Daphnia pulex: one gene and its partners. The protein of the gene in region 3 binds, or shares a complex with, the protein of the main gene of each other region. Links are inferred from orthologs where the notes say so. Each region holds a gene or a part of one and is shown on either strand. Other genes may lie near its edges.

Region 1 (8,312 bases), on a different chromosome or scaffold from region 3:
TCTTCACCTTCACGAGAATGTCAACAAGCAAGTTTGAAAAACTCTCCAGTGAAGCTTTTGGTTTGCCTTGTCACTCACTTCTCTCATCAAATCGTTTCTCATGATGATTGAAATAATTTAGAATTTTATCTTACAACGAATGTGCCTTATCTGGAAGAATTGCCCACTTGCTTGGAATTCTATAGAAATTATGTGGCTCAAAATCGGCCAGTGATTATCCGTAATGCTTTCAACAGCTGGCCGGCGTTATCGAAATGGAACATTGAATACTTAAGGTTTTTTCCCCATTCATACTATTGTTATTTATCAACTCTTAAGTCTTATCATAATTTGACATTTTTTTGTTATGTTAAAGGCAGTCTTATGGGACAAAAGATGTCACAGTAACCATCACCCCAAATGGTTATGCTGATGCAGTCACAAATGGACACTTTGTTCTTCCCCTGGAAAACGTGATGCCCATGAACCAGTTTTTGAAATCACTGGAAAACCCTGTCGTAAACAGGGTGCACTATATTCAAACACAGAACTCCAATCTCACCAAAGAGTTTGCAGAATTGATAGCTGACTCTGCAGACGAGATTGAGTGGGCCTCAACATTGTTTGGCACCAAGCCAGATGCAGTCAATTTCTGGATGGGAGATGAGCGGGCAATCACATCGAGTACCATTACTTCCATCAGTCAAAATATCATAAACTAATACAGATCATTTTTCCTATTCACAGTGCACAAGGATCCCTATGAAAACATGTACTGTGTCGTTTCTGGATACAAAGACTTCATTCTCCACCCTCCCACAGACCAGCCATGGATACCTTATGCAAATTATCCCAAAGCTAGTTACCAAGAAATCGACGGAGATTTGAAGATTGTTCCGGATGATGACGGAACCATTCCTTGGATAGATATCGATCCTTTGAAGCCCGACTTGACAAAATATCCCAAGTACAAAAATGCTCGGCAGATTCGATGTCGCGTTGAGAAAGGTGAAATGCTCTACCTGCCCTCGCTTTGGTTCCACCACGTCCGCCAGTCTCACGGCTGCATAGCAGTCAACTACTGGTACGATATGCAATACGACATCAAGTACAATTATTTCGAATTTGTTAAAGACCTGGTCAACTGTGATGCGTGATTTGCCAATAAAATGTCATTGCCTGTTGAACGCAGAGACGATTAAATTCTATGATAGGAATGTATTCTTGATATCTGGAAATCAATGGCACAAGACTAATCAATCCGGCGATGGTGAAACGAACGTAATGCTTTCTTATTAATTATTTATATATAAAAATTCCAAATCCTAGGATGTTGTTGTTTCTTCAGGAGAAGGTGTTGTGGTGGTGGTGGTTTTGAACGACTGAAAAGTGTCCGTGACCATCGGTTCTGTAACGGCTATTTTGGAAAAAATGTTCAGCATTAGAACTCTAAACCAGCATATCTAAAAAAATAGACAAAAACGTTGAAAGTAAAAATGTGTGTATACCTGGACGGAGAGCAGGATCGTTTAGATAGAAGAAAGTCGGCGACAAGGCGCAATCCACTTTGTCAATGTCCTGACATGTTAGCGTGGCTTGGTCAAACAGTAGCCCGGTTCCACACGTAAAAGTATGCGACACCACTCTGTATAATGCAATCGTGTTTTTTTTTTTTTTTTTCGTTTGTTTTAAAATTCTAAGCTCTCAGATATTTGGAAATAAGATATTAATCTTAGACTTGTCAAACGACTAGACACTCTGCTGGGTGTCGGTTACATTACCTGTTCTTTTTCCCAACTCCACAGGTATAGAATCGTCTGCAGCCACTGGACACGTCGGCGTAGAAGCCTCCGCCTCCGCCTTCCTCAAACGAGCACTTTTTGGCCAGAATGACTACATTGATATCCTTGGTCCATCTAATAAGATCACTCGAAAGACCTTACACCCAACTCAATTGTTCAATAATGTTCCTCCCTGGTTAAGAAGAGTAAAAGGAAATGAGCATCAGGTACTACAAAACTCAAAGATTTTAAAGAAAAGAGTAAATCTGACTATGTTGTTTCAAACTTAATTCTAGGTCCTGTTGCCCAAGATGAAATTTGTGCAACGAGAAGATTACCCCTCACTCATCCAACAAAGTGGGGCACGCTGAACTCTAGAATAAAAAAGCTTTACAAATATTTGAATACCAAAACAAAGTCACCCTTCTGGAAACATGCTTAGTGAATTTGTGTTTAAAGCAGTAATAAAAAAAATACATGAATAATAATTTTATTATAAATTGCTTATTATCTGAAATCTGAATGCACATTGTGTAATTAATTAGACTTCCAAGTTGAAAAGGCTCACTTTTGAAACAATAATTGCACTTCACACAGAATTCATGTACAGCAAGGTAACAATAAAGAAAAACGATAAGTCTAATCGAGAGGGGATATTACATGATGTTAGTCGTCGAGCTCGTTGATTTCCAGCTCAACGGAGAAGACGGCTTCCCAACGATATCGTACAGCTTCAATCTAATATGTTCAAAACATTAGTAGGATAAATAAAGGATTAATAATAAGACGGGACAAAACAAAGGAGGGAATCAAAATTTAATCACCAGTTGATCAACCGCCTCTCTAGTAGCCAAAGAAACTGTCCATTCGAGAAAATAATACCGGATCTGTTCCGGTTTGCTTACGATTACTTCGAAGTTTTCCTGAATAAAGAAAACAACCAAATGTAATGCAGGTGAAATAGACAAGATATTGGCCGTCATTTTACCAAAGAGACGAGATTGACAAGTTGCTGAAGGCTGAGAAGCGACCCTCTCCCCCTCCCACCCCACGTTCAAAACTGAACTTGATGGCTCGTCAGCCAACGAGGATCACCACATACTAAAACCATACGATAACTTGTGACCATCAAGGCTGTGTTGCTATAACTGGCCGTTTGCTGGTGATTTTTCTGTTGCTTACTATTGCCCCATTCGACCCGTCAGTTTACACAAAAGAGGAAGACGCGAGAATTGCTATCCGGCATGAATCGGGTACTCGTCCTCGTAGATCCTACACTACACCGTCCGTTTCACCTTCATCCGCAGATCCCGTCAAAACAGTGTCCTGATCTCCTCTGACGGAGTCCAATCAAAGCCAGCCATTGATCCGCCATGAGTACCGTCCTTAACGGCGGAACAGTAAATCCGGATTTCTCAAGAATATCTAAACCGCAGAATATTAGCTAAATAAAAGAACAACACAATAAAAATGATTTACCAGTGAGAAAGTGAGTCACGCGTTCTTGGTTCGTCTTTGATCACGAAGCAAAATGAGGTGAGACCAACTCGTTCCGAACTTCAGAACAACACCTCGGTTACCGATGACGATTAACATGTTAACTAGTTGATTAAGCGGGTAACTTGTTTCCAAACTGAGCCACTTTTCTGGCTGCTCACTGTTAATAGAAGCGAGTCGCATGATTTTATCCACAACCACCTCGACTTCCTTCTTCCGAAGTGTCGGAAGCCTCCTTACCGCTGATGGTGGGTGAAGACGGTTCATTGGATGCTACGATGACGTCACTGCCCGGAAGATTACTCGAGGATGGAGTTGATTCAGACCCAGACACGTCATTATTAGGAACTACAACTGGGCTTTGCTGCTGCTGCTGTTTACGACCTATTAACAAGGCATCAAATAAAACTGTTTGATCTAACACAAGAGAACTGCGTTACCTTTCAAAAGAGGAGAATAAACTGTAGAACATCGCAGCTGGATAGCCGCTCCAATCAAAGGGAATTTTCGGTCGCATTTCATGCAGCTCATATCGTCTCTCAATAATCGATCCTCTCTCTCCGGATTGGCAACTTTTGACGATGACCCAGAGCAGCTAGCGAAAATCTTTTCCAGCTCCTAGAACAAAGGAAAATTAGTAACAAGATTTGACATTTCAACACGTAAATGATAATAAGACATTAAAATCGTCTTGTTCCTTGCGTCGCTACTATTGCGAATTGATTATAGCACAGTTAAAAATCTTGAGAAAGATATGAAGAAAAATATTGTGAGGTTACACACCACTGGTATCACACTGAATGTTTTTTCTTTCGTGTGAATGGTCAAATGTTTTCAGACAGTTTAAGTATTTGTGCGGACATTACGGACGGGCCAGTTTTTCATCAGTGATCTCGTATGTTGACGTAAGTTGGATCGGTCGTAAAAACGTCACATTTAAAGGGCTTCACTCCCTGATGTTGCCAGGATGACGTGAAGTCGCAAATAATCACTGCCTAAAAATGTTTTCACACATGTATCACAATTCACAGGTGCTAGCTTGGTCCCATAGTACATATTCATATGTCATACCAAAACATTCTTGTGATGAAAAGACTTTCAAGCATCTTTACATCCATATTTTCTTTGGTGTGTTGTGTCACTAAGCTCAGGATATTCCTGTAAAGAAAATATAATTATTAATGCTAAACCGTTTAGCATTAATAATTGTGACATTTTATCAAAATTATAACCTTATTGAATGCTTCCAAGTTAAAATCATCATCTCCATTCTCATCTCCGTTGGAGCTCCCTTCAGGGTTATCTTCTGCTGCTTCCTCACTCTCCCTTTTTATGTCATCAAAATTTTCTCTCACCTCAAAGATTGCAGGAGGCTCATTATCATTTTTTACAGCTTGTTTTATCATCTACAATGAAATTGGGATCACTTTTTCTTGCCTGTTTAAAATACACATCAAAATTAAGTCACACCATATCCGAGTCCATCTGCAGTGTCACTTCTTTAAGCACCTGTCTTGCGATATGGACCAGGCTTCCAATCTTTGTTCCAATCTATAAGGTTTTGAATGCAATTTGAGATTTAGTATATCAATACATAATTATATATTCTTCTACCCTAAAAAGAGGAAAGGCTGCTCAAAAAAAAGGAAAAAAAAAGTGTCTTTGATCTTGGCCTTGCTTTTGTTTACAGCTGTCGTCTGCTAAAGCGGCGGTTAAGCACTTGAAGATGACAGTCGTAACGATGGCAACCAAACGCGATGATTACACCAGATAACACGTAGATCATGTTTTGATTGTTTTTTAATTAAAGAACTCGAGGAAGGGAGTTCGCCTTGCACCTTCGTAGAGACCTGACGTGCATTCTCTTCTCTCTCTCAAAGTGCCAGCAGACTCACGTACTCACCGTATATACGCCCCCCGCTTTATTCCGACAGACAAACACGCGCGACCCCCCCCCCCCCCCCCACAGGCCCCCGTGTCAAAGCAATTTCCGCGCCAGGTGCCACCAACAAAATGGCCGACCGTGATGCCCCACCGCGTTCGAAAAGACCGTGCAACTCAACAGACCACCCCCTCCCTGTGATAATCAAACTCATGGATGACCGTCCAAACTTCAAATCAATGTCCTTAGCAGAACGTGAGGCCATGCGAAAAGCCATTTGCACAGCCATTGGGGACCCCCGGGACTCCACGGTACTCCCAGGCGGCGACCTATCCGTCAGCCCTACTGACTTGCAACAACAACAAGTACTACTCAACATCAAGACCCTGGCAGGCAGACCAACATCTAGCACTCTGCCCACCCGGTCAACAGCGAGGAAGGTAGGAGTAATTTTTGGTATCCCGATAAGTGACGCGGAGGAGGAGATTCTGGAAGCTCTAGCAGACCAGCACGTGACACATGTCAAACGGCTCCCGATCCGCAACTCACCAGGCTCCCCCTCGACAACAGTATCACTTACCTTCTTGAAAGAGGTCCCAGACAGGATCAAGATAGCGTCAATCAGCTACCCAGTAAAGGTATCGGTACCAAACCCATACAGATGCAGGAACTGTTGGAGACTCGGCCACACCGCCAACAGGTGCAACGCTAATGGCCCTAACTGCAAAAGATGTGGCAAACAACAACACGAGACACACCAAGAATGCTCAAGAAGGTGTATTAACTGCAACAACGGAGATCATGAAGCAGACAGCGATCAATGCCCTGCATACCAACAAATGAAGAGCATTATTAAAATGGCCTACCTGGAGGAAATCACCATACAAGAAGCTCGATCCCGCCACGCAAATCTGTACAGCTCAGTAACCAATCGAACCCCCACCCCAACCAACCGCCCCGCACCGCCGCCAACCCCAAGGAATGACCTGACAACCCTACAGGACCAAATAAAGGCCATCCAACAAGAGATGTATACCATGACTGCAGCCACCATTCCACAAATCCAAGTAAACATCCAATCGCTGGCGGTCGACCTAGAAGACACAAACAAGAAAATTAGTAAATTCGACCAACGGTTCAGCAGCATTGATAAGCAGCAACAGATCAACATGCAAATACAGCAAAACAGATTTGACAGGCTGGAAGAACTACTAATGGGGAGAGTTACAGACAGGTCCCACTCACCCCCACACGTAACAGCGGACCCACTGAGGACTACTATGAACCCTAAACTGCTACACCACACAAATGAACAGAGCCCCATGTTCAGCACAACCAGCCAATGGCCAGACGACATGGACACAGAAAATGATAAGTAGACACACAGTACACCACTCACGCACTACCCCAAACCCAACAAATAATTTCAAATGCCTCCAGTGGAATGCCAGAGGGCTCACCAAAGCCAAACTAGAAGAATTCCGGCAATTCCTATCCTTAGTTAAACCTGAAATAATCCTCCTCAGCGAAACGCACTGGAAGAAATCTTTCTACGTTAAATTCAAAGCCTACCATATCCTCAAGAAGAACCGCCCTAACAGATCAGGGGGAGGAGTAGCAATTCTAATTAATAAACAACTTTCGTTCACCCCCTTGCCCCTTACCCCACATGACACCGTAGAAGCCATCGGCGTCAGCATCCTATCAAGAAGCAACTCAAAAATCGATTTCATTTCTGCCTATGTTCCCAAAGGCGACTGTGAAATGGCTGACGTAGCGGAAATTTTCAACAGACCCAACCCGGTGGTTATTGGAGGGGACTTCAACGGCCACCACGACATGTGGGAAAGCAACGCAACCACCAACACAGCAGGGAAGACCATCTTCGAAACCATCCTCAACAGCCAAGACATATGCCTCATAACACCTACTGATCTAGGTACAAGGATCGATCCGGCAAGCGGGAAAATATCCACTATCGATCTAACTATGACATCATCTGAACTCGCCACCTCAGCAACGATTTCAATAGGTCCAAGCCTAGGTAGCGACCACCTCCCCATAATCCTCACGCTCAACACGACCCCAGCTCGAATCTCAAGACAACCGCCCAAATGGATCATCAACGAAAACAAGTGGGCAGACTGGAACCACCTCCTAGACACCGCACTCATAGAACTCAAGTTCTCGGAGATCCAGAACCCAGAAGCAGCCACTACAGCTTTCATGACAGGATTGAACGGAGCAAACGAAAAATGCTTCAAAAAATCAAACCCATCACGGGCAAGAAACTCAGAACCATCGCGGCCCTGGTGGAACGCAGAATGCAACACACTAGTGAAGAACGCACGAATTGCACTCAAAAACTGGTGCAAATCACCTACATCGCTACACCTCAGAACGGAATGGAAAAAAGCCGAGGCCCTGAAAAAGAGACACATCATCAAGGCAAAAAAGGAAGCCTGGTCCTCCTTCATCTCGAACCTCGGCCCGCAAGACCAACCCCGCCTCTGGACTTTCACCAAAAGCATGCTAGGAAAAGGATCTAACCTCTCACCAGACGGCCCCCTGATCTCAAACAACAACACAACGATAAACAGCCCGAAGGAAAAGGCCGACCTATTCCTCGACCGATTCAGCAGTGTGTACCCAGCCAATCTACCAACTAACGACCACTTCTACGCCACCATCAACAGCAACATAACATCCACCACCCACAACATCCTGAACGATCCAATCACACCGGAAGAACTCGAGAGATCCCTCCCCAAATCCAAAAGTAAAGCGGTAGGAGCCGACCTAGTCAATAATGCCATGCTCAACAACCTGTCACCGAAAAACAGGACCCATCTACTACACCTATTCAACACCCTATTTTTGAAATCCCATCAGAGCAATAGATACCTGGTCGGTTCTCGGCCGTGTTGGCTTCCCTATCCCGGTTTCAGGGTAAACGTGGTCCGATTTGGAAAAAATGATGAGCGCCTCTAGTGAGTGTGTCAGGTACTACGTGAAGCCAGCCAATCAGGAAGGGTCTATGAAAAACTCATTGACCAATCACAGCTTACTTTTCTACAAGAAGTGAACAAAATAAAAAGGTAGAAGTATCCAACTGTCAAACCTCTAGGTCTTTTCTAAGTGTCCCAACATTCTTACATTTTATTGTTTGGTTG
Region 2 (7,437 bases), on a different chromosome or scaffold from region 3:
TTTCCAGTCCTGGACAAAGAAGAAGTTTTAGGGGGGAGCCATCAGAAGAAAGAACTCGACTTCACGATGTGCATGTGAATGATTATGCATGATGAAGATATGAAAAGGTCTGTGATTGATGTTATGAATAACTAACGGTTGATTGTCGCTTTCCTGTTACAGGTCCTGAAGGACTTGGTGAGCTCACCGGCGGACAGGATCCCGTCAGCGGCGGATTAAACGGTGGAACTGGCGGCAGTGGTATCGGGGGAAGCGGCGGAAGTGGATCAGGAGGAATTGGAGGAATTGGCGGAATTGGCGGAAGTGGAAGTCAAGGAAGCGGAATTGGCGGAAGTGGATCTGGAAATGTTGGTGGCGGATCTGGAATTGGAGGAAGTGGATCTGGAAATGTTGGCGGTGGATCCGGAATCGGCGGAAGTGGGTCTGGATCTGGAATTGGCGGAAGCGGATCTGGATCTGGAATTGGTGGAAGCGGATCCGGCTCTGGCGGCAGTGGATCTGGAAGCGGCGGAAGTGGAAGTCCCGGAACTGGTGGCGGATCAATTGGAAGCGGCGTCAGCACACCTCGCCCAACTCGCCCTACTCGCCCAAGTCTTAACGTTGGAACCGAATTGGGAACTGGATCAACTGCATCAACTGGCAGTGGGAGCGGCGGCAGCAACACTGGGCTCATTGGCGATGGATCAGGCGGAATCAGCGGAGGCGATCAAACCGGTCCTACCGAAAGTGACATCAACTGCGACCGTACTGGAACCTGTTACGATGGTAATCAATTAATAAAAAAAATAATAATACTTAACAATATTCGAATTTTAATCTTATCTTTAGTCGGAGTTCATTGTCGTGATACCAAGATCGAGGTTCTCGTTAAAACCAACCGGCCCTTCAGCGGGCGCGTTTACGCTCTTGGCCGCAGTGAAACTTGCAACATCGACGTCCAGAATAGCGACAGCTTCCGGTTGGACTTGACCATGAACGGCGGTGACTGTAACACCCAATCCATGTCGGGCATGTTCACCAACACCATCGTCCTCCAGCACCACAGCGTCGTCATGACTAAAGGAGACAAGATTTACAAGATTAAATGCACCTACGACATGTCGCCGCGCAACGTTTCCTTCGGCATGATGCCCATCAGGTATAACAACATCATAACCACTTCATTCCCTCTCCATCCGATCCTTATCTAATCTCTTTTTAATTAATTTTTGGGAAAACAGAGATCCGGACATGATCAGCATCACTTCCGCACCGGCTGCCCCACCTCCACGCATCCGCATTTTGGATCCCACCGGTGGCGATGTCGAGACTGTTCGTATCGGAGATCGACTCATTTTCCGCATTGAAATTCCCGGCAACAGTATGAAACGGAATTATCATTTTAATATTGCAACATGAAAATAACATCATTGTTCTTTTTTAAAAACTCAGCACCATACGGCATTTTCGCTCGCAGCTGCCTTGCCATGGCCAAAGACTCCAGAAGTACCTTCCAGATCATCGACGACGACGGGTAAGAATTAAATCTTGAATTAAATTGCTTAACAAAATCTAATAATTATTCATTTACTTAATAGTTGTCCAACTGATCCATCCATCTTCCCTCGCTTCGTTCCGGACGGAACTGCTCTGCAGAGCACCTACGAAGCTTTCCGCTTCACCGAGAGCTACGGTGTCATCTTTCAGTGCAACGTGCGATACTGTCTAGGACCTTGCGAACCGGTACGATCGTATACGCCCTATTTCAATTCAAATAATGTAATAACGAACCATTGATGGATTGCAGGCTAATTGCCAATGGGGAAGAGACACGATGGAATCCTGGGGACGTAAGCGCCGTAGCGCCGAGAAAGTTGAAAAAACCGAAGAGGACATGACCATGTCTCACGAAATCCTCGTTCTTGACTTTGGAGATGAAGATACGAAATTCAGCCACCGACAGACTGCCACCTTGCCGGCCAATTTCCCCAACAACAGTAAGATAGGCGGGAAATTTGAATCGGTCACGATAGGAATGAAATTCTAATTGATTTAAAAAATGTAGGTACTTACACAGTCCATGAAGAGACGGTGACCGTATTCAACAGCACTTGCCCAACAAAGACGTCCGTCCTGGCGTTGGCCGTCACATGCGCTCTTCTCTTATTACTGTACATCTGCACCGTGTTCTACTTCCTCATGCGCCGCTGGTTGGGACCCGACAAGAGCGTCTAAGATTACAAACCCATCTAATCAAGGTGGAATCCTAATATCTAAAAACACGGGACATTTTCCAATCGTGAAGCCCTCCTAAACATAATCGTTATCCATTCGTCGTCACGGAATTTCGCTAGATATTCATTGTTTCTATTTATCATTATTTTTTTTTTTTGTTAATTATTATTTGCTTGATTTGTTAAAGCAGCGCTTTAACATGACTTCCGGTTAAATCTTTTTTTTTTCCTTCCTTGGTGGACCTAGGGAACGGGGTCCATTAGTAATTTATTATCCTATATAATCTTTTTAGGTGTTTCAAAACTAGCCCAGGGCATTTTGTTGAGTGGTGCTTACGGCAGATCTTATCCTGGTTTTCTCTAGCACACTTGTTTTAATGTAAATATGATTTGTGGGGGGGATGACTTATAAATGAAGTCTACAAAATTTTAATATTCTTGGGAAACCGGTTGTAGTTGGAAACAAAAAAAAACCGCCTTTATTATCGAATGTTTCTTCGTTTATGTTTTTCCCTGCCCCAGAATAAAACTTTGTCTGCAGTATGAATAAACTGATCCACACCATTAATGTTTGGGAAATCGAATGTCAACTTCTGGTTCAGCCTGAGCCATGTTTATTCGAAAATTAAATTATTCTTTTTCCATTTCGAACTGCTTACGAACCATTAAAGCGATTTCTTTTATCTTGTCCGGTAGGAGAAGATCCTTGATCTACATAAAAGCATTATATAAGTTAGCATTGAATTATTTAGTTTCAATGTAAAAATAATTACCTCAAGCCCAGCATTTACGGAGGCTTCGTAGGCATGCATAATGCTGGTATCATAGATCATCATCTTGCAGTGCGCCAAAGCTGTCACACAATTCCTTAACCGGCTTATAGCTTGTCGATCGGCATGCGGAACTGTCTATAGGTTTCAACAGAATTAGCTTCCACGTGATAATGTACAAACATCGACTTTTTAGTACGCACCTCCAAGTTTTGAACAAATCCACCGGCGCCATCGTCAAGGAGCGTAGGGCAGATCCAAACAAATCCATTGTTACCCATAATGATACTTGCTCCGCAAGGCAAGTTGTGGAAATGAGTCTTCTGTCTTCGGATCAAAGATGGACTAACTTTTATTAGGCAACCTTGGGAAAGCTATAACAGATAAATGGTTGTTATTACAGTTAATATTTTAAATAACTTATTGTTATACTTTTCCATATTTCATGCTGCGGGTGTGTAAAGAAAGAGCTCCATCATTGAAGATGTTTTGAACCTCTGCACTGACCAAATCTCCTTCTTTCAGGTATTGCCTCATGGCTAATTCATCTTCTGCTGATCTTCTTCTCTAAAAGCATTATGAGATATAAATATTTGTGTAATTGCACAAATAAAAAGTCTTTCTTACGAGTTCACCACCAGGCAAATTGACTGACTGAAGAAGAAGCACTGAATCTAATCTTGCATTGGTGTCCAGTTTCCAACGTTTCTGTGAAACCTCAGTAACCCTACCAATTACGACATCTCCAATCTCCCCATGATAACGAGATTTCAAGGGTCTAACTGAAATAAGTTGGTTGACTCTCTCCACAACTCCAGCAACACTGGAGTACAAACAGTCATCTTGCATGTATGTTCCATGACCCCTTAGCAAAACATAAAATAAGATTATCATCAAGAAAATGGCAAAACTTTTAACAATCTACCTCATGAATCCTGTTTCCTTTGTGATCAAAGAGCCAGGTGTGACAAGATGTTTGGGTTCAGTAGAATCAGCGACGATATGAAAAGGAGGCACTTCAGAAGCAAGGCGAATGTCTACCATTCTTTTGGTTTTAATTATCCTAATGTATCAAGTTCAAAAAAAAGGAAACAACAGCACACTTGAAAATGACAATAATTCATCGTGTTCTGCTATACCATGCTGCTACGTTGCCTAAGCTATGGCGATATCAAAATATTTAAGAATATAAATATTTGTGGATATTCTTGTCAAAATGATATTGTGCAATTTAAATCGACTAATTAACTTATGTTCGAAATGGAAAATATAAAGTCAACTGAAATTTTTTTAACGAATCAAATAAAACATTGCGCGAATCACATTAGTATTAATTTTTGCCATCAGATGTCTGTTTGTTTATATGCCGATTCATTTCATTCGTCCGTACAAGTAAATGTCACTAATTTGCCAAAAAGCAATACTTTTTTCAACAACGATATGCGTTGCTGGGCGACAACGAGTATCTTGGCACTTCCTTCCCAAGACTGCTCGCAGAGGTTGGCAACGTAACCTTGTCTCGAGATCACTTCATCTCCAGCATCGTCCCGAAATGGAACCCGACAGTGATGAACAGCAGAGAACGGAACTGTTAACGACCCTTGAAAATTTCAGATGGCTCGGAAGTAAAACCCCTTGTTTCCCTGTGAACGGAAATAAGGTTAGTGTTCTAATAAGGTATTTTATTAGTGTCTTCTAGTAATAGTTGTAAAATTTTTTCTTAGGTTCGAGTTTTGTCTGATCCTGAAGATTTCTACAAAACACTTATTGAAAAGACTAGTCAAGCAAGTCAAAGAGTCACTTTTGCATCCTTATATCTTGGAACAGGAAATCATGAAAATGAGCTTGTAAAAACAATTGAAAGTACTTTGAAGAAAAACTCTGGCTCCAGCCTGAAAGTTCGAATTCTGTTGGATGCAACAAGAGGCTCTAGAGGTGCCCAATTCAATTCCCGTACAATGCTGCTTCCCTTAGTTCAGTCCTACAGCCAGCAGTGTTCAGTCCATTTTTATCACACTCCAGCACTTAGAGGATTATTAAAGAAAATTCTCCCAGAAAGATGGAATGAAATTATTGGCTTGCAACATATGAAGATTTACATATTTGACGATTCCTTATTAATCAGTGGCGCAAATTTAAGCCACGATTACTTCACAAATCGGCAAGATCGATACATAATTATGGAAGATTGCAAAGATTTAGTGGATTTCTTTGACCAACTAGTAGAAACTGTGTGCCAGTTTTCATTTCATTTAAGTGAAAACAACTGCCTTAACTTGAATTCCGCTTTTCCTCACCATCCGTTTGAATCCAATCGGCTTGAATTTACAGAAGAAGCAAAACGGAGAATCAACAACTTGTTTGAAAAGCAAATAAAAGCAAATGTTTCGTCCTCGATATTTCAATGGCCGAATCCGTCTGCTTACGACACCTGGATCTTCCCTTTCGTCCAGATGGGGCAGCTAAACATTTACATGGATAACATCTTGACGCGCGAGATTCTAGAAAACGTACCGGCAAACGCCGAATTATGTCTAGCAACCGGGTACTTCAACCTGACTCAGGACTATATGGATAGTTTGCTAGAAGCGTCCCAGCCAAATGTTCACATTCTCATGGCACATCCTCTGGTAAGCCCCTATCACCATTCAAACAAACGTTCTCCCATTTAATTTGATTGATTTATTCCCAATAGGCCAATGGTTTTTTCGGGGCGAAAGGATTCGCAGGTGGAATCCCATCAGGTTATACTCTACTGGCTTACCAATTTTATCGACGAGTGGTTGATCGAGCGCTGGAAGCTCGCATTCGATTGTGGGAATATCAACGACAGAATTGGACTTTCCATGCAAAGGGCTTGTGGATCTCTTTTAATCGAGGAGATCCTCGACCCTCTTTCACTCTAGTAGGATCTCCTAACTTTGGTAACATGTTTTCGTATTTTTGTCAAAAATTCAAACGACTGACACTTTTTTGGCCCGTAGGATATCGTTCTGTTTATCGAGACTTGGAAGCGCAATTGGCAGTAGTGACCATCAATCCTACCCTACGGGATCAGCTTCATCGAGAACGGAGAAATCTCTTTCAGCAAGGCGACCTGGTCAACGGTACGACTTTTGATCACCCGGATAGAAAGATACCCTTGTGGGTTCGCTTCGTCATCAAAGTTTTTCGGAGATTCTTCTAGTAAACAAACAAACAACAGCAAAGTAATCTTAAGACGTTGTTGTTGTTGCACTCCCGGTGATCCGATCCATTTGTTTGTTTTTGACCTCCGTGAATAACGATGGAGTGAGAAATAGAAATGCAATTCTCTTTACATAATCGTGAGTTGCATGTTTACTACTTTGACGAACCTAAATTCAAGAATTTTATTGCTCGTATCTTTTAGTGAAAGTAAAAGAAAAAAAAAAACAATTTGACGGTTGCATTCATCGTATTTACTATCGTATTTACATTAAACTAAATGATTTTAAATAATGAAAGGCATAACCCAGCGTTATTTCTAACCCTATAGCGTTTTTCGTGAATTGGTGCCGACCGACAGTTCCGTACGACTTTGAAGGTCAAAAGCTGAAAGAACCATGAACGAAATGTATCTCTTTTGAAAAGAAACAGTCATCTCAGCATTTATTGACGGACAACAAGAGTTTTTAATGTTAACATCTATTTTACCGTTATGTCAGCGAAAGTAAAAGATAGCACGAGCAATAGTAGCTGGTAATCGATAGTCCGAAGACTTGGGGTCCAACGATAAAATTATGGCAGTCCAATACTCCAATATTTACTTTAACTCTTACTACTAACAGCTTAATTAAAAAAGAGTGAGAGTTCCGCTTGCAACTCCAACTCCAATGTTATGGAGTAGGATCATGTACCCAAATATTCGTTGAATAGTTTATATCTAGCTCATATTACATTGTGATTAAGAGTTGCTTACCCGACATGTATTTGTTTTCAATCTTAGCCCATAAACAGAAATGAAACATGCATATCTGGGTTTTCTCATCTCTCCCGTGTAATGGAGTAGAGTAGAAATCCTGACGTGTTTATTGCAACGGTAAAGATTTCGATTAGAGAACTGCTGAAATTTAATTAATTAAAAGTTAACTGTGCGGTAACAGATTGAAGCCAGATCTAGTTGTATACGAGCAAACTTCACCCTGTTACAGTTATTTAATGTCCCAGTTCGGACGGCTACGGATATTCAATTCGAACAACTGTAGTGCTTTTAATAGAACTGGAGGATATACGGCTCGAACACGCAACCTGACACGTGACAGCATTGTATTCTGCCGCGCTCCCAACTGCGCTACTGCGAGGCGATACCCTGAGCGAAGTAGCGAAGACAGGAGATATGTTTCGAAAAATAAAAAATACATTTTTTGAAAAAAAAACCTTGGTGAACATAAATAAATCTAAATGTATATGTTTTCATTTTTAATGTTAATACA
Region 3 (7,920 bases):
GTGTAAATAATCAGAATTTTTGATCAGGTGTTTAGGGCCAAATGCAAAGATGGAAGAGAAGTTGCTGTAAAGGTTCAGTATATTGACTTGCAGGATCGGTTCAATGGTGATATTGCTACAATCGAATTGCTACTAGAACTGATCAGTTGGATGCATCCAAAATTTGAATTTAAATGGGTTCTCAAGGTACGAACGAAACAACTAGTAAAAATCATGCTATTATGTATTAAGGTTAAAGATATGTTTGTATATTTAATGCAGGATCTGAAGGGTACTCTTTGTAAAGAACTCGATTTTGTCAATGAAGGACACAATGGTGAAAGATGTGCCAAAGAGTTGTCATCGTTGCCTTATGTTTATGTCCCAGATGTCGTTTGGGATCTGACTAGCAAGGTAATATATGCACTAATTTCACTTCGTTAGGGTATATTATAAATTTTTTTTAACTGTTTAGCGAGTCTTAACGACAGAGTTTATCGATGGGATTAAAGTGAGTGATACAGGCAGTCTAGAAAAAGCAGGATTTTCAATAAAAGATGTTAGCCACAAACTGGTTGAAATGTTTGCAGAACAAATTTTTCACACTGGTTTTGTCCATGCTGATCCACACCCAGGAAACAGTAATCAAAGAATTGGTTCTTGTTGTTTCAGTGAGACTCTAATTACTTATCTCTTTGTAGTCTTAGTTCGTCGAGGGAAAAAAGGCGACGCACAGATAGTTTTGCTGGATCACGGATTATATGAAGAGCTTCCGTCTACTGTTCGCAAATCTCTTTGTCGTTTGTGGTCTTCAATAGTGCTAAACGATCACGTCGGAATGAAGCATCATGCCGCTGCCCTTGGAGTGAATGGTTAGTAGTTTCTCTTTCTATTATCAGTATTTCCGTTGTCATTTGAAACTTCGTTAGGCAAATTTTTTCTCGTAACAATTTTGAAAGTTGGAATGGGTTTGTATTATGACTAGATTACCGATTGTTCTGCATGGCCGTGTCACAGCGCTATATTTCAGCGCCACCATGGCCAACTGAACACGATTCAGTGAATCAGGTCTTTGCTTCGTTTTACGATCACAAGGGGCCGAAAGTAGGAGAATGGCAGAAGATGACAACCGAACAACGTCAAGCAATTCGAATTCAAATGGATGAAATTCATGAAAGGATGATGGATAGCTTCCGGGCCATGCCTTCTCAATTGATGCTCATTTTTAGGTATTTAGTTGATTGCAGTGTTGGTCTGTTGGTCTAGAACTAGGTCAGGAAGCGTACAACAGATTCTCAATTTTGCTGCATCAATACGTTAATTTAAGAATTGTTTTAAAATTGAAACTTTAAATAAGATAAAACGAAGAAACTCTTTCGCGGTCTTTTTTGTATAGACTATTTGCTCTTCGCTGAAATGCTTCTTCAAAGACCCATCGGAAATCAGAAATTCGCTTTATCCAACTTAAATCAACTTTCTGAAACTGATTTGAAATACATGCAAGAAATGGCGGGGCAGCGTTTCGACATGATCATGAATAACCTTCGTTCCATGCCAAGAACAATGCTTTTAACTATTAGGTAATACTGGATATTGAATTAACAATAAGCTGTAATCCTTAGAGAGCTGTGTGATGCAGCAAAATTGATAAATTTGTATCAGCCTACTGGTTTTAACTAAGGGCAGCTTTCTAAGTTAAAATTAACAGATTTATTTTATGTTTTGTTTTGTTTTTTCCTTTTTTTTATAAAGGAACATAAATACAGTTAGGGCAATAACCAAAGACCATGGCAGTCTTGTCGATCGTTATACATTGATGGCCAGAAGTGCTACTCGAGGATTTTTCATCGTACCTGGTGCTTCATTTGGTCAACGTCTACAAGGAGTCTTGCAACAATTTCTATTTGACTGGCGATTGTGGTAATTTTAAGATGTCTCTTTCATTTACGTGATAACTCAGTGAATTTTTTTTAACAGGTGGGATAAAACACAGATGAGGCTCACCTTTTGGGGCCTTCGTGTGTTATTTTGGCTTGGTCGTGCACCTGATATGACAATTGTCGTACAAATGGTTGAATGATTTCATTAGAAATTGTATTTAGTAGCAGGACACAAATGTCGCGTGAAATTTGTAATTGCAAGAATTCCTTTGAAATATTCAATTATATATCCTTTTGTGTTAAAAGACATTTACCGCATGAAGCCAACTTTTTGGGATACTTCCAACGTTTCTTCTTCTAGGAGCTTTTTCATCAAAATTGTGTTGACCACCGCGCCTACTTCACTTCCCGTCTACTCAAACAAGAAACATTAGACTGCGGGATTGTAAAGAATAGAAAAATTTCGAACCTTGAGCATTGACACCAGGCTGTCTGGATGCAAACTTCCGGAGCCAATTTTCCTAACGGCAGTAACTTTTTTATTGCCTGAGACCGCCACAACAATACCAGAAGAGCTGCAGCATTCTTCTTCTGGTGTTGGATCTACTAGGTAATGGTTTCCAATCTGAAAGTGAAAACACAGTATTCGACTAAATATTTCAAAATTAAAACTTTAACTTTCAAACCTTCATCAAAGTCACTACACAAGGAATGTTCTCTGTGTTCAGTCTCTTGGTATCATAAGGATCATCAGAGAGCTCCAGTTCAGGTTGATCCCCGTCCATAGTTGCTACTTTAATAGAAGGAATTTGTGTTGCATAAAGAGCCGATTTCACAGCCAATGAAACTGCATCATAAAGGTTCCCTCCACATTCAAGAATCTATTTTAATGCCATAAAATATTTCATGAGAAATTGTTGATTGGTAGAAATATCACACCAGCATTACCAATATGTCAACATACAAGACCCAACATTGCTGTCCTGTCAAGACAGAAAGTTCAGATAAATTAATTGTATCACCTGAAGCATAAGATCTTTGAAGGAATCTACAAATTTCATTTGCCAGATCTTCTCCACCTCTCCCTTCAAATTCTGGTGTTGCATTTGCAGAGCTAAATTAACAAAAAGTACTATTAACATAAAAACTTTTAAATTCTATTTATATTTATTGTTTAAACAGACCAATCCACAAAGAACTCCAGCCTTCCTTCTTTGGGCTTATCAGGTAAAGGGGAAGCTAGCTCTACTTTAACTCCAACAAGAATATCAGAGTTTGCAAGTCTCAGCCTTGCCGATCCACTGGCATTTGAAACTAATCCAGTTTCAAGAATTATAGGGCGATAATCCAGCCTTGTTCTACCATCACATCGTAAATCATCCTTGGATATTTCAAAAATTGAATTTTGTTAAGTAAGGACAATTTATTTTTATAAGAGCTGATTGATTTAAGTATTACAGACCAAAAAATTTTACTGGCAAGACCGACAGAATTTAATTATACCTGGACACCATGATGAATGAATGCTTTCTCAGCTTCACTTAAAAGTATTTCTGCCATTGATATGGAGCTCAAAGGTAACCAACGATACAGAAAACAGTAACAACTAACAAACGCAGATGACTTTAATCAAAATACCACGGGAATGTAAGTAAACTGTAAACCTTACCAGACCTTACTAGTTTTCAAGCTAGTATGTTTGTATATGTCTGCACTCGACAGTTGTCTGCTACATTAGGGCAACGTTGTCGGACATCCGTCAGGTTCAGATTCTAAAGACAGATTTAATTGGTTTATTTATTTGCCAATTGCGTTTTTTTACTACAGTACGCACATTGATTGCACGCCATTTATTTTTACATTATACATGATTTTATGCGTGTTACCATACGTTTTACATTATACGTGTTACCATTTACCATGGGCATGGAGAGACCTCTCCAAACCCTTGGTGTTACATAAACATTTGGTATTCATTTTCATATTGGTTATTGATTGTAGACCCACCCCCCAGCAACGTCAACCTCCAGAAGGAAAGGCCAGCTTTTGCATGTCCTTGACGCTCGAAGGTCATGGAGATCATTATGTAAAACTTGTCATGCAATGGTGTAGAGGTTGGGTGAGAACGAGACGTTTTACACAACCATTTGGTATTCATTTTGATATTGGTTGTTGTAGACCCATCCCCAGCAACGTCCGACCTGCAAAAGGAAAGGACAGTCACACTTGAAGGTCACGGAGATCTTTACGTAAAACGTGTCATGCAGTGGAGTAGAGGCTGGGTGAGAACGACACGTGTAGCATCATTATCAAGCAGGTAAAATAACCGCAAGGCTTAAGAGGTGAGGGTGAGAAAAAATCGTATAAAAGGCGAGAGAAAAGGCGAAGGTAAATCAGTTGAGGGAGCATCTCCGACACGGCAACAACTGCAGCGCTCTGTCTGTCAATTCGCATGGTAAATATTCTGTCTTTTACGTAGAGTTTGGTATCAATCCTTCTTTTGTTTATGTATGCCTGTTATTATGTAATATTTATGTTAAAATTGCTAATTGTCTAGCAAACTATGGCGTAGTGCTGCTGTTGTGTGTTGAATCATCGATGGCTGGGTCGACCACTGGTGTACCGATGTCTTCTTGGTATGGCGGATACCAAACTGCAACGCCGCCGCCTTACTACCCAAAAGCAACTTACGCAACGACCAGTTACTGCACCGAGGTCTTCAAGTACTACACCACTAAAGCACCGGACTTGAATAGCACAACTTACGCTGCCCCGAGCCACTACACTGCCGCCCTGAAGTATTTCTCTGCCCCGAGTTACTACACCACCAAGGCGACGGAAGATGACTACGCATGCTGCCCCATCCTCCGAGGCTCATACACCGAAGCTCCTAAGTATTACTCTGTTCTCATCTACTTATTGCACCGATTTTCCTAAATACTACTCTGTTCCCAGCTGCTACACCGAGGCTCCCGCTGATTACTACACCGAAGCGGCAAAGTACTACTCTGCCCCGATCTACACAACCATAACTGAGGCGGCCAAGTATTACGCAGTCCCGACTTGCTACACCAAAGCTGCTCTTTCGTACTACGTTGAACAGGAATACTACATTGATGCTCCAGTTCACTACACCACGACCTACGCTACACCGCAGCCCACAAGTACTACACCGAAGAAGCCGCCTACAACAACGTATGCTGCCTAGTTTACTACACCGAGGCTCCCAAGTACTACATCACTAAGGCACCGGATTTCTACACGTCTATGTGTGCTACCCCTGCCTAGTACACCGAGGCCCCGCATTACTACAACACTGAAGCGCTCAAGTACTACACTACAACCTGGCTTCCCCGAGCTACTACACCTACGTCCCGAAGTATTACTGTGCGTTAAAGGAGTCTTCAAAAAAAGGACCACCAATTGCTTTCTTCATCGTGTAACCGATTCGCAATCATGGGTAAATATTCTTATTTTTACATTGAGTTTTGTATCAATAATATTTTTTTCTATTTGTTAATATGCCTGTTACTATTTAATATTAATGTTTCAATTTATTTTGTTTAGTCAACTATGGCGTCGTGCTCCTGTTGGGCGTTGTATAGTTGATGGCTGGGTTGATTGCTGGTGTAGCGATGTCTCCTTGGTATGGCGGAAATCAAACCGCAACGTCGCCGCCTTCCTACTAAACTTACGCAACGACCGGTTCCTGCCCTGAGGTCTTCCAGTACTACACCACCAAAGCACCGGAGTTTTATACCACAACTTACGCTGCCCCGATTCACTACACTGATGCCCTGAAGTATTACTCTGCTCTGAGTTACTACACCATCTAGGCGATGGATGACACCACACGACTACATATACTGCCTATCCTACTACACCGAGGCTTCTAAAGTATTGCCCTGTTCTCAGCTACTTATTGCACCGATTTTCCTAAATACTACTCTGTTCCCAGCTGCTACACCGAGGCTTCCGCTGATTTCTACACCAAGACAGTCGAATACTACACCGAAGCGGCAAAGTACTACTCTGCCCCGATCTACACAACCACAACTGAGGCGGACAAGTATTACGCAGTTCCGACTTGCTACACCAAAGCTGCTCTTTCGTACTACGTTTACACTGATGCTCCAGTTCACTACACCACGGCCTACGCTACACCGCAGCCCCCAAGTACTACACCGAAGAAGCCGCTTATTACACAACTACGTACGCTGCCTAGTTCACTACATCGACGAATTTAAGTATTGCCCTGCTCCAAACTACCAAACTTAAGTTCATATGTATTTTGCAATTTTCATTACTATATCACCACTGCTCCGACCTAAACACCTAAGTTCTGAAGTATTTCTCTGTATTTGTGAAAGATTGCTGAAATACAAGATTAATTGATAAATCACATGTTTCTATTTTCTCCTTAAATACCTTCTCCTGCCGATAATTGCATGATGTGTGAAAATATTTCTGAGTGCTATATGTAAACTTATTGATCTTGCCAAATACACTGATAAAATATTCAAACTAATTTTTACATTTCAATAAAATTTAAACTCCTTTTTATAAATTATTTTCTCATTAAAATCAAAGTCCAACAAACTGAAAAATTCAGAAAAATTCAAAGTCCACCTTCCATTATTTCTGCTAAGTCTAGACTTTTGTTTTTGAAAAAAAATTTAAAAAAATTCCCCTTACACGAAATTTTAAAAATTTTATCGCGAAAAAGATTGATACGAATATTTTATTGCATACAAAATTTATTTTTATAATATTTTACATACATCATATACATTTTTCCTGTGGCCCCCAGGGGGGGGGGGCCTGTCGCTTTCTCTACCGCGATAATAACATGATGCAAGTTATATGCAAGTTATTATTTGTTTGGTGCAGAAAGCTTGTTTTATCTAGCAGTTCTCAACTGTTTCAAACCTGACATTGATCAGGTTGCCTCAGTCGTATACTGCATGATTGAATGAAAACTCAAAAGACAACAGATCAAACTTTAAACTCGGCAACACAAAATAATACTGGCAGAGCAATTTCATGGCATAACGACAACACAAAAATTTTGAAGTCAGGAACCCAGATGGAACAGCTCAGCTACAACAGCACAGCAACTTCTGGATTACACTGCACCCGCATGCTGCATACAAAGACTCACTCTGTCTTCGTCACACCTTTCACCATTTGGCTGCAACAAGGTAACCACCAGCATTAAAGAAGTGTTTGTTATACCTGTTCAAGAAAAGAAAATTATTTTCGAGAAACACAACTGTGTACACATGCATACTCATTATATAAAAGAATACATAGGGTAACAGAAAACTACGCAGTCCAACAGAATAACTTTGATCTAAAATCTTACGAAGGCAAGGTATTCATAATTTCTATAGTAGCGTAGCAAGTTGGTCTACTCTCTAGTCTTAAATCTGTTAAAGTCAATGTTAAATCTATGATACTTTTGCAAGACATTTGAAGTCTTAAATCTGTTAGTCAATGTTAAATCTATGGTACTTTTGCAAGACATTTGATCAAAATAATTACTGGTAAAAGTCTATTTTACCCGACCAACTTCTTACTTTACTTTACTTATCTAATTCACTTTACTTTACTTAATCTAGAAAAGTAACTAAGCGGGAATGAGCCCGAGCGTAGCGAGGAAATACAGGGGTTTTGGGTGGGTATAATAAAGTATAATAAAGCATCAAACCATACTTCATTATACTTTACTATACTATAACCAAAAACAACTATATTTTTACGGTATGCTCGGGCTTATTCCCGCTTAGTTACTTATCTAGATTAAGTAAAGCAAAGTGAATTAGATAGGTAAAGTAAAAATACCACTTACTTTATTTACTTAAAGGTAATCCAATTGCCGCAATACAAAACGAACTTAACAGCACAACTCTATGTCCCTTATTAAGGAATCAACATGATTTCTTCGTAAAAGCAAATCCCAAATTCTGCAGTTAAGATGGCGAGTTTTTGGTTTCACGAACAATCTGTGATACACTTCTGAGTCGTTATTAGCTACAAAAAGTCTAGTCAAAATACGCCC
Region 4 (7,226 bases), about 1.8 Mb from region 3:
TGAATACAACGATCAGGGATAATGTGAATGGCCGACAATCGCTGCTGGCCAAATTGTTAGCCGACAGCGAAAAAAAAACCGACCCAAAAATTGAAGAAGACAACCGAATTACCGGGTCACGAAATTTTCTCCCACGACCACTACTATTAAGTCCCGATGACAAAAGTGGGCAGAGAGACGGGAGGGAGAGAGCAAATAACAAGGCTTTGGGCGGCTAAGGGACACACAAGTTGCAGAAGTCGGGAGGAGAGTTTGGTATCGATCGCGCTGCTGCAGCTGGCGGCCAAGTTGGTTAGCGAGTCGAAAAAGAGACGCACAAAGAAGAAGAAGAAGAAAATAAAAAGGGAAAAACACATTTATAGTGTGCTCGACCGTCCCCCTCCTTTTTTCCCGACCGATTGATTGATCACGCATTGGTGGTGAACGCTAAGTTTGTTGTTTTCTATTTTATCCCGTCAGTCTTAGAAATCCCGAAAACTTGAAGCATACGAAATGAGCGCAAGGCCTCATTTCGCCTGCTGTTGTTTGCTCCGACTGCTCACTGGCCGCGATCCAGGGATTGAATCCACATTAAGCCACACCCCCCTCCCACCGAGAGAGAAAAATACACAGAACCTCAAAATGGGTCAAAATCACGACTCGACGTGGTAAAGGAAACGGAAGTCTCGTGTTTTGGGGTTTGGAAAAGAACATTCGTTCATTTTTTCGATTTGAAAAAAGAAACAAACCACTATTTCTACTTCCACTATTGGAGAAAATAATATACAGTTGGGAAAATACTACAATCAAAAGAGACCACCGAGATTGACTTCCACGTTTTTTTACGATTACAATCCCCACCCCCTTTTCTGGCTCTTGTCTGTTTTTTTTTTTTTATTACAATTCCATTTCCTTCCTCTATATATATATCGGGAGTGAAAGGGGGATGTGCTCGAGTCGATTTGCAGAGTTGTGACGAATTCCGCAACGGAGCAGATGGCAGCACTACAGAAACACGAATAGAATAACAAAAGAGTTAACGGGACTGAGTGTGCGGGAGGAAGTCTGAGGGAGTTGTAGTTTGCAGACGTCGCCGAAGGCAACTAACTCATTAATCAAATCGTCTCGTCACATTCAGCTGAGATGGACGAGAAGGGAAATCTGGGAAAGTTCCCAAAAATAAAAATAAAAAAAACAGTCCTCTCACACTCCATAAAAAAGAGGCAAGAAAATCGAACAATAATAGTTTCGGCTCAGATCCAAACGCCAGGGTTTTATAAAGCGTGAAAGCATGATCCCGACAGTGTTGAGATGCTCAAGAATGGGGAGGGCAAAGCTCGTGCATATCCGTTTTGGAAATGTGCGTGATTCTTCTTTTTAGGCTCCTCCTACTAGACTCCCCAGCGGACGAGTCATTTCCCCCAAGGTCAACATTCTATGCGTGTGAGTGAGTCTTACAGACGAATCACGAGGATGGAAAAATAAAAGAATAAGGGGGCAACGAACATCAGCTACAACATCGTCGGTCCTTGTGACGGGGGTTCTAATTCCCATTGTTGTTGACCCAATCAAGAAAAGAAGCCCAGAAGGTTTTTTTCCTTTTTTCTATTCGTAGAAAGATCCGCCGGAAAAAGGAAATGAATCTGGAGAGGGCAAAAAAGGGCGAATTGCGTGAACAAACTGATGGGACTAGGATTCATTCGCCAAAATCCTGGATAGTAACACAGAAAACGTCAGCAACAGCTAAAAGCTTGAAAAGGAACGAGTTTCATCAAATATTTGACATGTCAATGCACAAGACATTTTTCCTTCCATCTCAATCATCCTAAATCCAATATCGCAACGTGGCTGCTGAAGAAATCGATTGGCCCCCTCTTGAAAAGAGATTATTTCTAATCATCCAACCTTATTGATCATTTAAAGCAGGATTGTGTCAACAGTTCCCAGTGGAAGTGGATGGGAAAATATGGAGAAAAATTCCGAATACAACAGCTTAGCAACTTAAAAGGCAAAAATATACACGGCAAACACACTTAAGCAACGACAGTGATGACGTAATATAATCAAAACAAAAAAGCTCTCTGGTTACTACAATAAAGGCGTTGTCAGGTGTATAGTGATGCATGGACGTGGAGGTAATTGGATCGGCGTGTAATGTTCAAAAACACTTACCCGTTGATTAATAAAGTTGCAGGCCAAATCTTTGAGCGTTTTCAGCGTTAACTGGGAGGCATCCGTGGAGATAAAGTCTCGTACCAGTCCAACTTGGAACATAAAGGTCACCTGACCATTACCATCATCCATGATGGAGCTTGGATCCAAAATTTTATGAAAAACACAATCACAATTATGGCGAAGTTTGACTTTTGGATGGCAGTGAAATTCGCACACACACAAAACTGGCCCTTTTTCGTTGGAATAGTCTGTGTGGTTGGTGTGTGTGTGTGCAATCAGGTGGGAGCAATGGAGTAAAAAAAAAAAAAAAACGGGTTCCAGCAACCAACAGGTTGATTGGAATGTCACATAGCCTCGGGCTGAGATCACCTTTTCTTTCGTCGTTCTCCCGCCCTGGCACCACTTAGATTTTTCCTTTTCTTTCTTCTTCAAAGAAAAAAGGTTGGGTTTTTACCTCCACTTGATTGCACGACAAAACTGAGCAACACGACTGTTTTAAAACCAACACAGATGGGAGCAGCACAACGCGTGATAACACGTTGGTGATGAAAAAAGTCGGTGCGAATAAGAGGGACTGGCTAATGGAAATGCCCAAACTAAATTCAATTAATACGCAGGTTTCCCAATCATGATGGCACACACAAAAAATTCACGTATAAACATCACACACACACACACACACACTAGCACACTTTACGTTCTCTCGAGAAATGCAGAAACAGACTCACGTACGTGTGTGTGTGTGTTTCTGACCGTGCAGCTCAAGTCACGATAACTTGGTAGTCTGCCGAGCTAATAAATACTGTCGCTACTCGGAGATCCGTCTTTGGCTTGCTCACAATTTTCTGGCCAAAAACAGCGTTGCCATTCTCTCGTGACTGAACGAACGAAATCCATGAAAAATACATATTCATAGCTACATTGGAAAATTGTGAATTTTTCAGGTCTTCTTTATTACAAATATAATAGTTGTTTTAAATTCATGGAGTTAAAAGTTATATTTTGTGTGATTAAGTAAATGGTTGCCATGGTAACTTAGAGACATCTGCAGACTGCTGTTGCCGACCCGTCAACCCCATGTATTTTTTACGATCACGTTGCTTATGCAGAAACAGGGCTGCGTTCTTAATCTGAATTATTGAATACTTTTTCAATCACAAAGAATTGCTTGCAATATTATTATTCGCCATGGAGACTGAAGAGAATAGCATTCGTGCTTTAAAGTGCGAACAAAGCGTACTGTCACGTGCAGATGGCTCGGTGATGTTTTCTCAAGGTAAGTTTAGATTTGTAACTTTTTCCACGCTGTTTTCGTGTTATTTTGTCCAAGTCGGTAAATTTTATTTTATTGACTTGTCATTTCAGGGAATACTGTGGTAATGGCTTCAGTTTATGGACCTTTGGAGGCTAAAATTCAAAAGGAACTGTCCGATAGAATGTACATTGAACTAAACTACAAGCCAAAAACAGGAATGCCAGGTTATTAATAACTTATCCTGTGTATTATTATTTCTGTAATATTGAATGCATTTTTATTTAGGTGTTGCTGAGCGTGGAAAGGAGAAACTCATCAAGACCACTTGTAATCACATTATTTTGACGAACCTGCACCCTCGAACAGCTGTCTGCATAACAGTTCAAGAAATGCAAGATGGTGGAACTGTAAGCACTTACCACAACAAATTTATTTTGATCAAGAATTAGTTGTTCACATTTTCCATAAACTAGTTGCTAGCAGCCTCCATCAATGCTGTGTGCCTTGCACTTCTTGACTCGGGTTTACCCCTGCAGTGTCTTGTAGCTGCAGTGACTTGTTTGGTAGACAAGAAGGATAGAATTGTCCTAGACCCATGCATCAGCACAGTCAAAGTATGATTTCCACTAAGAATTAACTAATTTTTTTCCCCCATTTTTTGTTGTTGTGCCTAACTTACTTTTTTCCCCATTACAGGAAGGTTATAAAGCAATGTTTACCTTTGCTTTTGACAGTCAAAAATACAACTTAATTCTGAGCCACTGTGAAGGCCAAGTTCCCTATCAACTTTTTCAAAAAGCCATGGAGCTGTGTCAGAAAGCCAGTCACGTCATCTTTGATTTCTACCGGCAAGCAGTACTACGAAAGTTTTCCAACGAACTTCTGTAAAACTTTCAAAAAATACACATTTTAAAGTTTTGTATATGCGACTGAAAACAAAGTATAATTGTATAAGTATAGGCTTGCTTATTTCCAGTATCGTTAAATTTCTTCGGAAAACCAATCCATCCTAATATGTCATGCGCATCTAGCAATACTCGAGTAATCACGTTCACCAAAACTATATCTAGAAGGTTTCCTGCCCGGAGCTTGGCTCCAATGCAATGCGGTACAATTTTGACACAAGTTATTTAGGTATAGTAAAAGTGCCGATTGTGAAATCAGAAAAAAAATAAACTTAACTTTGAAACAAACTCTTCTTAGAATGACATATGGTAGGTAGTTCTACCATTTTTAGGATTTATTCGGTCGGAAAATGTAGCATAAAGGAATTTCTTTTATGGTTATTCTGAAAATTTATTTCAAGGTGGTCTGGATATATCGAGTGCGATTTCAGCCTTTACGGTAATAGGCCTTGAAATGTTTTTCTCAATTAGAAAGTTTAGCCAATTAGGCTGTCAAGTCAAAGTCAACACAAATAAAGCAATTCTAAATTTAAGTCATGTATCACCTGATTCCAGTTTCGAGTTATTTTCCGATTGTTCCATTTCAGTAGCAATCGTAATCATGATTGTGGCTAAGTAAACGTTATCTTGTGTGTGGTGTCCATTATTAGACAAAAGAATCTAAATTGGTCAGAACACTTTGAAGAGATTAGAAATTATTAGTTGATTGTCAAAATGACTCAAATAATTTAGAAAGTGTCACTGCTTCGTTATTCGTCCTTTAAAACAATTTAAAATTCCTGTATTGTCCTACATTCATTGCGTGGCCCTGTGCTTTGTGTGCACGCAGATGTATATTATAATGTGATGCCCGTGCCACTTTGATCGATCCAGCACGATTCAGAAGGGGGGAAAAAACCCAGCACGAATTTTATTTTGAGTCGATCGCGTCTTAAGGGTTAGGGAGCTTTTATTAACTTTCTCGTTGATAGTTCGATGGTCACTATATACTGCCGGCTCTACAGAAAAACTAGCGGGACATTTCAAGGACGTATTGTCCCTTTTACTTTTTTATCGATTCCTTTGTCAAATTCTGAAATAAATTTTTTTTTCCCCCTCATGCGTCTCAACGAGGTTGGTCAGATCGATTTATTCGTAGTGTATATATACAGGAATAAGGAACTCAAATAAAAACTGGGTCGTCTTATATATATGTCCAAAGAATTTGTTGGAATCAATCAATCGGACTTTCTTGTGTGTACGAAAAAGTGTAATAACAAATTCGTGGCATGGCATATCAATAGAGAAAGGGGCGGAATTTTGATTGCATTTTTGTTGTGAGTCAATGACGAATAGCTGCAAAAAAAGAAAAAAAGAAAACGGGATCATGGAAGAAGAAGAAATTGACGTTGCTAGGTTATATTCTGGATGAATATTTGATTCCGGGGACGGCCGCGCGGATAGTTCAGCAGACGGTACGACTTTATTTGATGCTGGCCAAGGCCAGCGGGTGAAAACGCGAAGAAAGTCTTGAACGAGATGAATGAAGAGGAAAGCTTCGTCGTGAAAGCCATTGATAATGATATGATTTATCTCAGTCAAACATGAGAGAATGCCCACCGGAGATGGCGAGCTGCCCCAAGAGAAATCAACAGACAAATTAAAAGGCCATTGTATAGGTGAATTTCTAGTATATAAATACAATTATGCATTCAGCGAGAGAGCGACGAAACTTTACATATAGTGTACAGCAAGTAGGTTGAAAATACAAAGTGCGTATAATCAAACATAGCTTGTCCGCAGGCTGCTGTTGCTGGAAAACATTCGGTTAACAACATGCGTATAACACTGCTCTGCTGCTGCTGGTTCGGGTTCCAAACCGTATAAACAGACACGTAATCTATATGCGTCAAAAAAGGTGCCAACTCGTTGCTCATTCCAGATGGTACGTAAGAAAATAAAATGGATGCCTTTATTTAAAAACAGACAACAGATAGTTTTCCTTCTTCCACGAATCGCACGATAAAAACGCAGAATATTATTAAGCGAATACCAACTTCATTTTTGAATGTGTATTAAATCTTTCAGTCAATTAAAGTTTCCATTCCAGAAGCCAAGACCATTTCTCGGGCCATCTCTCCAAAGGGATAAGGATACGTTTGAACTATTTTTTCGTCAAAGGAAGGTGTTTGATTGTAATTAGGATCCACTGAAAAGAAAATGAAACGGTTGAGTCTAAAAGAAAAACAAATAACTGAGCGAAATGTAGGACGCACGATAACTGCGATGATTGATCATGAGATGAATGGTATCCAGTGAACGCCAATCGAATTCTTTTTCGGTATAAAGATTTAAAGAAAGAACAAGATCAGCTCCGAATTGCACTTTCACTCGATGAATCTAAATCAACGATGTGTTTCAAATGGATGCGTGATTTATTCAACGTTCACGATTTCACGTTTCATTTTTTTTGCGGTTTCTATTTACCAATTCCGGGTGATGAAACAAAATTTTCGTTGTCGGTCGCTCCCCTGCATTGTAATACCTGTGATCACGCAATCGGAAAATCTTTTGAATAAGCCGTGAATTGATTGAATGAAATAACTATAATATACCACAATTCCGGATGATATTCGTGATAGGAATCGAGCCACAAGGGCAGAAAACGAGATTGTCGATTAGCGACGATCACCTGAGTCCCGAGAAACTGTCCTTCGTCCCAATTGATGGCCAATTCAAATTTGCGATACTTATCGAGATTTTTGATGACGTAGACGTCGTTATCTAAATAAATTCCGCCGTATTTCATTAGAGTTTTAATGCGTGCAATGTCGCCACCGTGATAAACTCTCAAATCGGGTTCAATCTGTTGGCCAAAGATCTCGGACGGCGGCTGCAGTGGCAGGATGCGGATGCGCGATCTTAGCTCGAGA

The links.
Region 1: exosome complex component RRP42-like (region 3) and exosome complex component RRP40-like share a complex: the UniProt entries of both Homo sapiens proteins name them as parts of the RNA exosome core complex. The link is inferred for Daphnia pulex from reciprocal best matches to the Homo sapiens genes EXOSC7 and EXOSC3.
Region 2: exosome complex component RRP42-like (region 3) and exosome complex component RRP4-like share a complex: the UniProt entries of both Homo sapiens proteins name them as parts of the RNA exosome core complex. The link is inferred for Daphnia pulex from reciprocal best matches to the Homo sapiens genes EXOSC7 and EXOSC2.
Region 4: exosome complex component RRP42-like (region 3) and exosome complex component RRP46-like share a complex: the UniProt entries of both Homo sapiens proteins name them as parts of the RNA exosome core complex. The link is inferred for Daphnia pulex from reciprocal best matches to the Homo sapiens genes EXOSC7 and EXOSC5.

Annotation. Positions count from the first base shown.
Region 1 is NC_060019.1:5,893,182-5,901,493, forward strand, and holds the start of exosome complex component RRP40-like, read right to left. Parts: upstream 4,958-8,312; 5' UTR 4,872-4,957; intron 4,871-4,871; exon of another isoform or gene 4,809-4,870; 5' UTR 4,728-4,808; exon of another isoform or gene 4,490-4,727; intron 4,416-4,489; exon of another isoform or gene 4,329-4,415; intron 2,254-4,328; exon of another isoform or gene 2,057-2,253; intron 1,988-2,056; exon of another isoform or gene 1,828-1,987; coding exon of another isoform or gene 1,761-1,827; intron 1,625-1,760; coding exon of another isoform or gene 1,488-1,624; intron 1,397-1,487; coding exon of another isoform or gene 1,305-1,396; exon of another isoform or gene 1,173-1,304; coding exon of another isoform or gene 1,172-1,172; intron 1,167-1,171; exon of another isoform or gene 1,137-1,166; coding exon of another isoform or gene 727-1,136; intron 664-726; coding exon of another isoform or gene 356-663; intron 276-355; coding exon of another isoform or gene 122-275; intron 61-121; coding exon of another isoform or gene 18-60; exon of another isoform or gene 1-17. Other genes in the region: bifunctional peptidase and (3S)-lysyl hydroxylase Jmjd7-like, read left to right, coding at 18-60, 122-275, 356-663, 727-1,136. UniProt on the Homo sapiens protein: Non-catalytic component of the RNA exosome complex which has 3'->5' exoribonuclease activity and participates in a multitude of cellular RNA processing and degradation events.
Region 2 is NC_060023.1:8,699,101-8,706,537, forward strand, and holds exosome complex component RRP4-like, read right to left. Parts: upstream 4,142-7,437; 5' UTR 4,028-4,141; coding exon 3,909-4,027; intron 3,849-3,908; coding exon 3,611-3,848; intron 3,551-3,610; coding exon 3,416-3,550; intron 3,358-3,415; coding exon 3,187-3,357; intron 3,122-3,186; coding exon 2,987-3,121; intron 2,925-2,986; coding exon 2,844-2,924; 3' UTR 2,811-2,843; downstream 1-2,810. Other genes in the region: uncharacterized protein LOC124197887, read left to right, coding at 163-765, 829-1,138, 1,221-1,360, 1,432-1,513, 1,578-1,722, 1,787-1,976, 2,045-2,214; CDP-diacylglycerol--glycerol-3-phosphate 3-phosphatidyltransferase, mitochondrial-like, read left to right, coding at 4,380-4,643, 4,708-5,613, 5,679-5,907, 5,968-6,170. UniProt on the Homo sapiens protein: Non-catalytic component of the RNA exosome complex which has 3'->5' exoribonuclease activity and participates in a multitude of cellular RNA processing and degradation events.
Region 3 is NC_060020.1:2,140,133-2,148,052, forward strand, and holds exosome complex component RRP42-like, read right to left. Parts: upstream 3,673-7,920; 5' UTR 3,529-3,672; exon of another isoform or gene 3,466-3,528; 5' UTR 3,420-3,465; coding exon 3,363-3,419; intron 3,241-3,362; coding exon 3,044-3,240; intron 2,974-3,043; coding exon 2,808-2,973; intron 2,741-2,807; coding exon 2,546-2,740; intron 2,485-2,545; coding exon 2,329-2,484; intron 2,272-2,328; coding exon 2,170-2,271; 3' UTR 2,060-2,169; downstream 1-2,059. Other genes in the region: uncharacterized aarF domain-containing protein kinase 5-like, read left to right, coding at 28-186, 262-393, 455-620, 681-851, 965-1,208, 1,732-1,899, 1,957-2,059. UniProt on the Homo sapiens protein: Non-catalytic component of the RNA exosome complex which has 3'->5' exoribonuclease activity and participates in a multitude of cellular RNA processing and degradation events.
Region 4 is NC_060020.1:3,910,874-3,918,099, forward strand, and holds exosome complex component RRP46-like, read left to right. Parts: upstream 1-3,193; 5' UTR 3,194-3,342; coding exon 3,343-3,430; intron 3,431-3,519; coding exon 3,520-3,633; intron 3,634-3,694; coding exon 3,695-3,816; intron 3,817-3,882; coding exon 3,883-4,023; intron 4,024-4,105; coding exon 4,106-4,297; 3' UTR 4,298-4,331; downstream 4,332-7,226. Other genes in the region: serine/threonine-protein kinase D1-like, read right to left, coding at 2,152-2,283; uncharacterized protein LOC124192298, read right to left, coding at 6,378-6,502, 6,570-6,693, 6,781-6,838, 6,909-7,226. UniProt on the Homo sapiens protein: Non-catalytic component of the RNA exosome complex which has 3'->5' exoribonuclease activity and participates in a multitude of cellular RNA processing and degradation events.